4 linked regions of the Saccharomyces cerevisiae S288C genome follow. The protein of the gene in region 4 binds, or shares a complex with, the protein of the main gene of each other region. Each region holds a gene or a part of one and is shown on either strand. Other genes may lie near its edges. The genes, in order: POP5, RPP1, POP8 and POP7.

The links.
Region 1: POP7 (region 4) and POP5 share a complex: the UniProt entries of both Saccharomyces cerevisiae proteins name them as parts of the nuclear RNase P and RNase MRP complex.
Region 2: POP7 (region 4) and RPP1 share a complex: the UniProt entries of both Saccharomyces cerevisiae proteins name them as parts of the nuclear RNase P and RNase MRP complex.
Region 3: POP7 (region 4) and POP8 share a complex: the UniProt entries of both Saccharomyces cerevisiae proteins name them as parts of the nuclear RNase P and RNase MRP complex.

What each region holds. Positions count from the first base shown.
Region 1 is NC_001133.9:80,903-83,807, reverse strand, and holds POP5 (RNA-binding protein POP5), read right to left. Parts: upstream 1,103-2,905; coding exon 581-1,102; downstream 1-580. Other genes in the region: mRNA splicing protein PRP45, read left to right, coding at 1-473; FUN19 (Fun19p), read left to right, coding at 1,857-2,905. UniProt on the Saccharomyces cerevisiae protein: Component of ribonuclease P, a protein complex that generates mature tRNA molecules by cleaving their 5'-ends. Also a component of RNase MRP, which cleaves pre-rRNA sequences.
Region 2 is NC_001140.6:222,375-225,341, forward strand, and holds RPP1 (RNA-binding RNA processing protein RPP1), read right to left. Parts: upstream 1,385-2,967; coding exon 503-1,384; downstream 1-502. Other genes in the region: GIC1 (Gic1p), read right to left, coding at 1-104; 2-dehydropantoate 2-reductase PAN5, read right to left, coding at 1,656-2,795. UniProt on the Saccharomyces cerevisiae protein: Component of ribonuclease P, a protein complex that generates mature tRNA molecules by cleaving their 5'-ends. Also a component of RNase MRP, which cleaves pre-rRNA sequences.
Region 3 is NC_001134.8:185,478-188,047, forward strand, and holds POP8 (ribonuclease P), read right to left. Parts: upstream 998-2,570; coding exon 951-997; intron 876-950; coding exon 521-875; downstream 1-520. Other genes in the region: DNA-(apurinic or apyrimidinic site) lyase APN2, read left to right, coding at 1-438; PEP1 (type I sorting receptor), read right to left, coding at 1,367-2,570. UniProt on the Saccharomyces cerevisiae protein: Component of ribonuclease P, a protein complex that generates mature tRNA molecules by cleaving their 5'-ends. Also a component of RNase MRP, which cleaves pre-rRNA sequences.
Region 4 is NC_001134.8:570,888-573,880, forward strand, and holds POP7 (ribonuclease P/MRP protein subunit POP7), read right to left. Parts: upstream 1,004-2,993; coding exon 581-1,003; downstream 1-580. Other genes in the region: TYR1 (prephenate dehydrogenase (NADP(+))), read right to left, coding at 1-313; PEX32 (Pex32p), read left to right, coding at 1,484-2,725. UniProt on the Saccharomyces cerevisiae protein: Component of ribonuclease P, a protein complex that generates mature tRNA molecules by cleaving their 5'-ends. Also a component of RNase MRP, which cleaves pre-rRNA sequences.

The sequences.
Region 1 (2,905 bases), on a different chromosome or scaffold from region 4:
TGGAATTGAAGCGGCTTGCTATGGAACAGGAAATGCTTGCTAAAGAATCTAAATTGAAAGAATTGAGCCAACGAGCCAGATACCACAACGGGACTCCGCAGACGGGAGCAATAGTTAAGCCCAAAAAGCAAACGAGCACAGTGGCCAGACTAAAAGAGCTGGCGTACTCTCAAGGAAGAGACGTATCCGAAAAGATAATTCTGGGCGCAGCAAAGCGTTCAGAACAACCGGATCTGCAGTACGATTCAAGATTTTTCACAAGAGGGGCAAATGCCTCCGCCAAAAGGCATGAAGACCAGGTTTATGACAACCCACTGTTCGTCCAACAAGATATTGAAAGCATATACAAGACCAACTACGAAAAGCTGGACGAAGCGGTCAATGTTAAGAGTGAAGGTGCCAGTGGTTCTCACGGCCCCATTCAGTTTACTAAAGCTGAATCCGATGATAAATCGGATAACTATGGCGCCTAGGCCCAGGATGAGCACTAGGAAAACAAAGCATTCTTGTGCTTGAGTTGTATTATAGATAAAAAAATAAAACTACTGCATATACGTGTACATCTATATATTAATATATTCTAATCGTCCTCGTTTTCGTTTTCGTTTTCCCTTCCAATTTTCTTGAAATCATTGATAATAAAGTCATTATCGCTGAGGTGTGATGATTGACTACACTTGATTATGTTCAGAATTTTAGAATTCCTTCTCATAGCAAACTGCTCTATTTTCTTGATGGTCCCACTTACCTTGACGGGGTTCACGATCAGTCCATCGACGTCGCCAATTTTCGACATCAACATCAATGCCATGATAACAAGGTCGCAATCCTCTCGATGGCATCGGATTATCCCCGTAGACGTCTTATTTGAAAAGTATTTCAACTGCAAGAGAGAGTTACATTTTGCAGACCCATAGTCGCCCAGATTCAACGACAGCGAGCGTCGTATCTCTTGGAGTATCGACTTTATGGACACATCCGCAGGCGATGCTCTGTGATGCGAAAGCAAGATGTCTGCTTTCGACACAGATTCCTCAACGTTGGTGTCTGTAGGTGGGAATATAATTTCAAAAAGGATATATCTACTTTTTAAACGTACCATTTATCGACTTGTTTCTTTGTTGCACTAACTATTGCTATCACATTAATCTGATAGTGAAAAGTAAAATATTTTTCAAGAGCGCTAAGCAAGAACAAAACAAAACAAAGTCAGGAGGCAATTAAAGACAACAAGATAGAAAAACCAGAGTGGTTGCTGTGGTAGTACGTTGGGGGCTCGTTTGTCGAGGTTTTTAAGCAGGTTTGAATGGAAGAAGAAAAAAACGAGCACTTACTGGAGTTACTTGGTAAGAAAAGAGTAAGAGGGTTTGGTGGGTGATATATATTTTCATGCCACCAACTGCGAAAAGACAAGGCATGCATCCATGGCTGGTGAAGTGTTTGTTTAGGATATGAACTTCAACCCAATTCAGTTCCCTCACAAACATCGTCTTTCTTCCTTCACCCACAGGTGCAGGCGCCGCCATGGGTGAGCCTGAGACAGGGTCAACACATTAGATCGATTCAAAGTTACGACAGTCATACAGATAATGAAACGACATATTTGAACTGGTAAACGAGCTTGCCATTGGCTCTGAGTATGCCCAATGCTTCTTTAGTGAATAATGTTCACTAAAACTGTTGGTACATCCGTGCACCTCCGCTAGATGAGGTGCAGGGGTCTATCAAGAACCCCCTTCTTCCTAAGAGAACCGCTTATAAAAGTAGCCACATGGTTCATAACATCCCCGTTATGGCTCATACACTGGGCATCGATAAACAGGATATTCGCGCATCGTAACATTTATAGGGGAAACATGGGATTATATTCTCCTGAATCTGAAAAGTCTCAATTAAATATGAATTACATTGGTAAGGATGATTCGCAGTCCATTTTCAGACGTCTGAATCAGAATTTGAAAGCAAGTAACAACAATAACGATAGTAATAAAAACGGTTTAAACATGAGTGATTATAGCAATAATTCACCCTATGGGCGCTCGTACGACGTAAGAATTAACCAGAACTCACAAAATAATGGCAATGGATGCTTTTCTGGCAGCATTGACTCCTTGGTTGATGAACATATAATACCATCGCCACCTTTGTCGCCCAAGCTGGAGTCGAAAATTAGCCACAATGGCTCACCCCGCATGGCCTCTTCAGTGCTAGTGGGATCTACGCCTAAAGGCGCTGTAGAGAATGTGCTGTTCGTGAAGCCTGTATGGCCCAATGGGTTATCAAGAAAAAGGTACCGCTACGCCACCTACGGGTTTCTGTCTCAATACAAAATTTTCAGCAATTTGGCCCAACCATATTCTAAGAACATTATCAACCGGTACAACAATCTGGCCTATAATGCTAGACATAAATATTCCAAATACAATGATGATATGACTCCTCCTCCTCTGCCTTCCTCTTCTTCTAGATTACCTTCCCCGTTAGCATCTCCGAATTTGAATAGACAAGCAAGATATAATATGAGGAAACAGGCTCTCTACAATAACAATCTAGGAAAGTTTGAATCCGACACTGAATGGATACCACGGAAACGCAAGGTATACTCACCACAAAGAAGAACGATGACTACCAGTCCACATCGCGCCAAGAAGTTCTCACCCTCTGCATCCACTCCTCACACTAACATTGCATCCATTGAGGCGATTCATGATGCTCCTCAATATATACCAAACGTCTCATGGAAAAAATTACCAGATTACTCTCCGCCCTTATCTACGCTTCCTACAGACAGTAACAAGTCACTCAAGATCGAGTGGAAGGGGTCTCCAATGGACCTGTCCACAGACCCGCTGAGGAACGAGCTACACCCTGCTGAACTAGTTCTCGCTCAAACTCTAAGGTTACC
Region 2 (2,967 bases), on a different chromosome or scaffold from region 4:
CTTACTTGGAATCCATACAATTTTTCCATTTCCTGATCCTCGTCAATCCAAATGGATTTCATTTGAGGAAGCTCCATCTGTTGCAGCCTCTTTCCTTCAGTCATCCTTTAGAATTTATCACACAATTAATAAGCGAGTATTCAGAGTGAATTATAAACAATAAACAATAGAAATAAGTCTTTCTTAAAAAAAAGTAGTGATAGTCCGTACGAAGATAATTAATTGCAGAATAGTTTTCAATGGTTTCAGCTCTCAGTAAATCCTACAGGTACAATGTAACAGAATATGCCTTGGATCCCCAAATTTTTTTGTCTATTCGTTGTTTTCCTTCTCTATGGAAATCGTCGAAAAATTTCTTTGTTTTTTTTTTCCTTTATTGTTGTTGTCTTTTCGCGAATTCGCGTCGCGATTCGTGGATTGTGATGATAATAGCGATGTCTACTACCCGGGTACGTATTTAATTATCATTTATACATTATATGTTATAGGTTAGCGTATCGTTTTAAGGCTTGTGTCTTTTGGAAGCATGGCCTAATTGTTCAGCATCCATACTCCTTTTCACTACCTTGATGGTCTGGACGTCGTCGATGCCTTGAACATCGTTGACCACGTCATCGCCGTTTCCGCTACCACCACCGGTAACAATGGTCTGTTTGTGGCTCTTATTCCTTAAGCGGCCATTTAGGAGGACGAGTGAAGCTAGGTCTCCCATGGCCTTCGAACACCTATCGCTCGGAAGACCTAAATTCTTGATTAGACTTGTTACTCCTAATATGTTGCGGCACTCAAGTGGTGACATGGCACCACTGCCGATAACAATGCCTCTGGACCTCGAACTCCTGATGACGCTTCTTACATTGGATACGAACTGCCTCCGAGCTTGTACGTCACGCAAAGCATAGCCATAAACAATTTCAAGTTTTACTCCTCTGTTCACACAGCTGCATATGCTTTTATGCTTAAGGAAAGTAGGCAGGCGCGACCCGTACTGAAAGGTCAACAAGTCAATATCCAGATTGGTAGTTGATAAAGTAAGGCCCTTTTCACTGATTGGCAATGCTGCTACAATATCAAAGGCCTGGCTTATCTTGGAAAGAGACTGTCCCTTCGATGGATCGTCGATAATTAGCGTGATCCTGCTGTATAATTTTAGCCCTGTTCGATCCATCAATTCTCCAAACCTTCTCTTGATATCGATAGGATTTAACAGCTTAACATCGTTGGGGAATTTCTCGCTGTGGTTTACTGTAAAATTTATGGCGATGTGTGTATATCCCAACATATGCAATGTGGATAACGTTTTTATTAAATTGTTGACCGCCTGAGAAGTAACTTTGTCTGCATAGCTGTTCTGTGGCCACGGTACATTCAAATCTACCAGCATTCTCGGTTCTATAATGCTTTCACTTTTGTTTTTTGTGTCTGTTTAGGTTAAGTATTTTCTACTGGTAAAATGAAATTTTTTCATTTATGCGAGGTAAAATTCTGGGCATCGCACATACATTTTTCATGTTTTCTGGTAGTAGTAACAAAAGAGAGGCACTTGACAAATTAATCTGCCTTCAGACTGTTAAGGTTCGCTCGAATAAAGCATTAAGAGTGTATATATATCAGTATTTATAAATGTATATGTTCTGGCTGATATCCGCGCATTTTCAGTCCTTTCTCCAGTCACCATTGATACTTCTCGACCTGTTCAATGCTAATCTCATAGTGGCCAATTCTCCGATAGTTTTATTAACCTTGCAGCAGTTTGGGTCTAGATTTAAGTTATCAGCCAATTTGACGACATAGCCATTGATATACTCAATTTCAATGTCTCTTAAGAACAAAGTGTCTTGTCTCATTGAACTACTGTTCCTAGAATTGATGTCACAGCCAATTCTAGTGACTTCGGAGACCATGTTATCGGTTGTCAGTACTGCATTGACATCCATTTCTGGGTATTCTTCATTACCGCTGTATTTTTCGTGGTATTGAAACAATGGCCTATAAGCAACTCTCAATATTTGTAAACACTCGTCAATAATAGATGTGAAAACTGGACCGCAACTGGCCTTCATCTCACCATTGACACAATCTAGAATAGCCGTAACTGGATTCATGCATGCATTAACCAAAAATTTAAATAATTGACCAAAGAGCATTTCTTGATAAGTGGAATGTTCTATTCCAAATTCCTTGGCAAATTTTGGTTCTGTTAATAATTTTACTAATGAGTTATTGGCTGCATCGTCCTCGACTACGGATTTTTTTTGAATCATTTCTTCCTCAGTCCAAGGCAATTTGGCAATTTTCATACCAGCCCACCCAGCATGATTGAAAACTCCTGCTTTATCCTGATAAACGCCATGAGAAATGACACCCTGAAATAAATGTGGTCTGTTTTTTGAATCTGTAAAGATTTCTTCTCTCAATAGTTCTAAAACGCCCAGTCCATTCTGAATCAAAATTAAGTTTGTATTTTTATTAATATAAGGCAAATAAGGAGCTAGTGCTTCTTTGGTTTGGTAAGTCTTTGTAGTGACGACTAAGTTGTCAATAGGTTTTTTAGAGAAAGTTTCAGGGCATTCGCATTTCTCCACTGGATAAGAAAATATTGGCGAGCCTTCCAAATAAAGTTTGCGAATCGAAATGTTGTTCCCATTTGTCTTCTGAAATTGTGCAAGTCTTTCTTGTGATCTAAATAAGGGCACAACTAGGGCATTGGTAAATCTTAAAAGGTCAACTGCCAAAACGGTACCCATGGCACCCAACCCAAGAATATGAATAGTACTTCTGTGTGGTGCAGTCATATTGTACAGACTTTATCGTATACGTATATTATCGATTTCTCCTATCGATCGTAACATACAAAGGTGAGTATAAAGTATCTTGTTTTTTTAATATATTTGTATTAAGCTGAATGGCACGATAAGCCTTTCTCGAGAAACCGTTAGCGGCCGCCAATCTATAAAAAAAAGAAAT
Region 3 (2,570 bases), 390 kb from region 4:
CCCATACCAAAATTCGAAGCAAGGTACAAATATAATTTAAGAAACCATAATGTTTTAGAGATGTTTGCCAAAAAGGATACGAATAAAGAATCTAATAAACAAAAATATTGTGTATCAAAAGTCATGAATACCAAAAAAAACAGCAACATCAAAAACAAATCGCTCGACTCATTTTTCCAGAAGGTAAATGGAGAAAAAGATGACAGGATTAAAGAATCCTCTGAAATTCCACAGCAAGCTAAAAAAAGAATCTCCACGCCAAAGTTGAATTTCAAGGATGTCTTTGGAAAGCCTCCCCTGTGCAGGCATGGGGAGGAATCCATGCTGAAAACATCGAAAACTTCGGCCAATCCAGGTAGAAAGTTCTGGATTTGCAAGAGATCTCGGGGTGATTCAAATAATACAGAATCATCTTGTGGGTTTTTTCAGTGGGTTTAAATATGAAAACGTCAGCTGATATTTTGGGAGAATAAAACACTTTCTTCTATGCCCAAGTTTTTTTAAATAATAAACTGATATTCTATATACATTTACAGTCTTGTTCTTCTTCTTCCATTACTTTTTTCAGCCATAGGCGGTCATCGTCAGTAACCTCCAGAAGTCTCAAACTGGAAGATTCTTGTAGAATTGACACTGTTAATGGTGAACCGACGAGTTCATCAGTAGATATGTATGTACTGATGGACGAAGAAAATGTATCTTTATCCGCATGATTTACTCTGATGTAAGCCAGCTTATCGTCAACATGCAGGAATGAATATTCTACACCTTCACCAAAAATACCATAACTACGTTTCAATGCGTTATTTAACCATTGCCTCCATGTCATTTGATCAATAGCATGTGCATCGTCCACATCTTGATCGAATGAAGTACTATAAATATTAAAGTACGTTAGTAGTTTATTTCTCTTCGGTAGTTGAGACTCAAAAAGTCAAAAATATACATACATTGATAACTTGAAATATTGCCATTCTCTAAAAGTCTTTTTCCCCATCACAACTGGCCATTTATCAAACTATTTATCTGCCTTTTCTTATTCTGATTATCCTATAAAGCTGAACAGTAAAGCTTGTAAAATTACGCGATGACTTATGTATTGAAGTTATGACGTTCTCGATGATCTTCAGTCAAACAACCACTTTCCCGTAACATATGATATATCCCACCCGCTTCCTTGTACGCATTATTACGGTTCTGCTTTGAAGATGGAGATTCAGTACTTGCAGTTATTTGAATTGCACCAGTACTGATCATGCCAAGTTTCTTTGGCTTGTGAAAGAACTTGATATTCTGTCTAAAGGATCTGCTCGTTTTTGTTTATGAAAAGTATATGGAATTATCTACTCTATGTAAAGTAATCTCTCTACTGGTTTTCGTTAGATGGCGCTGTAGAATCAGGCCTGTCGATGTTTTCCTCATTTCCTTCTGGTAATGTATCTGGAACATCGGTGGTCGTAGGTTGATCTGTATATGATGTATGCTCTTCTTCAAGTGTTGGAACATCATCTTCTTCGATTTCAAAATTACTACCCTGATCCATGAAACTGGATAAGTCATTGGCGTCTTCATCGTGGCCAGCAAGCAGGTCATCTGCTTCATCCAAAAATTGATCATGGATCAGGGATGAGTAGCTTGGACCTGTTCTGTTTCCAAACCTTCCTCTAATTTTGGAGATAGCATGCGCTATATTAGTTTTTGTGTGCTGTAAAAGAGACCCGATATTTGAGAAAACGTAAAATCCTGATTTCACAATGTTATTGACAACTCTGTCAGTATTATTGTTTTCTATTAAACCATCGTCACCTAGCCTAATTTCTCCAAACCTTGCAAATCCCCCATTTCTTCTGATACCTCTGTCATATACAAACCATGCGGCAAAGAAAATTATTAAAAGAATTGAAATGAAAATAAATGCAAAGGGACCGGCACTTACTGAGTACTTTTCCTTGAATTCTTTTTCTTTTCCTGGGCAAGCATGTGGTGATGAGGGAGCATCCAATTTCAGGCCACCCTCACAGGTTGATAGAGGGATCTTTCTGTAGCCTGACGATTCAAAATATTCGATTAAATCTGGCTCTTTTTTACAAACGTCTGCAGCATTTGCTGGGCTTAGTCCTTTGACTAATTTACAAGTACCATCGTTAGCTTTGTAAAAGTTGTAATCACACTCGAAATCTTGTCTTGTACAAGAACAGTTTTTGATATTTCTTGAAAATTCAGAAAGTGGAATATTCCCAATAAAACAATTTTCATCGGTTTTACGTAAAAACTCGGTTTGGTGACCAAATAGGCAATTGCTTTTGGAACCCAGAGGAGAGTATTTATAATCTGCGCTTTCCTTACCAGTGATGTCGAAATCACATTGTCTTTCGAAGATGTTTCTAAAATCAATTGTGTACGTTCTAAATGAGCTGCCTCCAATATCTGCTGCCTCTCCAAACAGCAAAAATCTCAAAGCAGAATCCCTGGGAACAGTGGTTATATCCTTTACTAAAACCTTATCAGCGCAGAATTTATAATCTTTCCATGTTTTACCAAAATCGGTAGAATAGGAAATAGAATCAGTT
Region 4 (2,993 bases):
GACCCCCAACAATTGTTCCAACCTTAGAAGATGGTCCATACGTTGCGACGATCTTACTAATATTGGATGCTTCAACACTATAGATAATATAGTCGCTTTGCCTGGATACCAAATGACCATTTTTCACCAGTTCGAATTTAGCTGAGGCATATTTTTCTTTCAGTTCATCATAATATTCTTCCCTATCACAACATATAACACCCCATCCAGCATCTGTAAATTTATTAGCGTATAATAGGCCCATATCACCCAGACCAATTATACCAATGACTTTTGTGGCTTTCCATTGCTCAATCTTATCCTCTGATACCATGTTTATCAAGTGGATATGCTGTCCTCTTTCCTTCAAGTGCTACGGTATTCTTGTAATTCTAAAAACTTTTCTTGGTTTGAATAATTCCAGTATCACTTTCTTCAAAGCTTATTTTCATATAAGGCCTCAAAAAAAAAAAAAAAAAATGACACATAGCTGAAGTGATAAACTTACTACACTGGTATAACGCTTATTAGAGGAAATCTAATAATAAACTGTTAGCTATAAATAGTATACAATAACAATGAGCGCTAAAAGTATGACATATTAAACATAAATACGCAATTCTACACCGCTTACAGCCCTTTTCTTTAGTTGGGTTTCTTTATCGTCATCTTCAACATCACTTTCCATGTCGATATCAGCTTGGCCTTCAGTTATTACTTCATCAAGAACTTCTATAGTTTTAGTGTAAACCTCTATTTTCTTGTTCTTCTGATCTTGAAAATGACAACCTAATGCCAGTGTCTTTTCTACAGCTTTACCCATACCCAAAACCGCAACATAGGATGATCCTTGCTTATGAACGCTATCGAGAAACTTATTTATTCTTTTCAGTGCACTAACGTATGGTGTTGTAGACTTAACGAAAATTGTTGTGTGTATTTGCTTATGCGTTAGAGTTTTCAAAGATGGGTGTTTCGTTACTCGTTTGGTAGATTTGTTGTGTGTATTCTTTTTGAGTGCCATCCTGGGTGCAGAGTTCTCTTTTCTTCTTTGACCGTCAATCTTATTGCTTATTTCTGAATAGTTAAGTAGCTCTTTACAGAGAGTGAAATTAAACAAATGGTCAAACAATCGCAGGAAAAAAATGAAGAAAAAACATTTTTTCGAAATGACATGAGAAGACTATTGATGTACTTCTCATGATTATTCAACCATATTGAGCTGGACAGATTTTTACCAAATTGATTTGGGAATTTTAGACATTATTGTTGTCATACCATTTTCATATTCAATTCAACAGCCTGGTGGGGAAGTAAAGAAATTATCCCCGAAACAAATACCCTTTTATGCTTATTTCCAAGAATTACTGGAACACCAACTGCAAGGGTAAACAGAATTGATGAAGAAGGTGCAATCACTCGAAACTACTTCATACTTTCTCTTTTCTTTCATTGATCTTAATTTAGTTCAGTGGACATCATTTTGCTAATTTCAAGGAAAGAAATGGACACAAATTCTAAAACCAAAGTACAAACTGAAAATAAAAAAATTAAGGCGAAATTTATACATAATCATGGGCAAAAGCCCTCTCTTATCCAAATTACACCTCCAATGATTTCCAGCACTCTGTTTCACGCATATCCACTACTACTAATATTCGACAATGCCTTAGCGAATATAATGTGGCTGTCCGACGATAAATGTTTAACATTCATTTATCTAACGAGCATATGGCTGACCATAAGTTTTTTTATCCCCGTTGAAACAGAGGCTAGCCATTTTCTGCCATTTACAAAGATTTTGAGACTATGGTTAGGCATTATAAGCGGGGCATTTCTATTCTTATCATTCATGTATTATATTGTTTCATTGATAGCTTCGTTAAGAGACACGGAACCTCCTACATTGGATGAAATTGTCGTGCTACTAGAGTCTGTGTTGGATAAACTGGAAGTACTGAGAAACGAGCTGAATGTTTGGAAAAAATTAAAGCTTTCATTTGATGGCGTCAATAAGGAGTGTTCTGGCAAGAGGTTGTTTTGCAGATTATTCTTATTCGGTACAATTTTTCAAATTATTATCATGAGATACATATCACCGGGAACTTATACTAGATTTTTTATTATTACCGGCTTGATATACAATACGAGTAGTTTTCAAGCTACCTTAAGGCTACTTTGGAGGTTTACTGCTGTTAGGAATTTCTATTATTTGGGGATTGAAAGTTTTAAAATTTCGAGTTTCTTACCAAAACACTTAAAGATGGAACAAATTATTCCTTTATCTCAAGGACGTGCAATCACGGTGCCACTGGTAGAGGTATTGCCTAAACTACTTCGGGACAAGAAGGGTGATGACCACATTCATATTCTACAGCTTCTACTTAATGAGCAAAAAGATAACTTTGGTAATGAAGACCTTAAAATACTAGAAATTGAAGTATACGAAAATCAAAGAAGGTGGTATCAAAATAAAAATTGGAGTACAAAATTACTGCCGTACGAAAGACAAAACTACTGCATAGAAATTAAAAACACTGATGGAACTTTAACCATGAGGAGTTGTTTGCCCCCAGATGGACTTGGTGAAGAAGAATTACCCAATAATTGGCATTGGATCAATGATAATTGGGACGGAACTGATTGGATATATTCAGATTCAGCATGGAAAGAAATTGGACAATACAGTTCTTTGGAAAGTTTTACCAGGTCAAGAAAATGGAAACGACGCCTCTTCCATTTGTAATAGTATTGCTTTAAGCCTCTAAACTGCATATATAGTTGGTTGCCTAACATTATCATGATATGAAGAATTTTCTCATACTTTGAAACATAGGACAAGTAAAACTTTATAAGATCATGTGCACTTTGTGTATGTTATTTCATAATTTTCATTAAATTCTTATAACGGCTTATGTAGAAATAATTATCATTTTTATAATAGAAGATTGAATATAGAGGTAATGTATAAAGGGCACATAATGAAGCACTAGTGGTTCATTTAAGAAAGAATA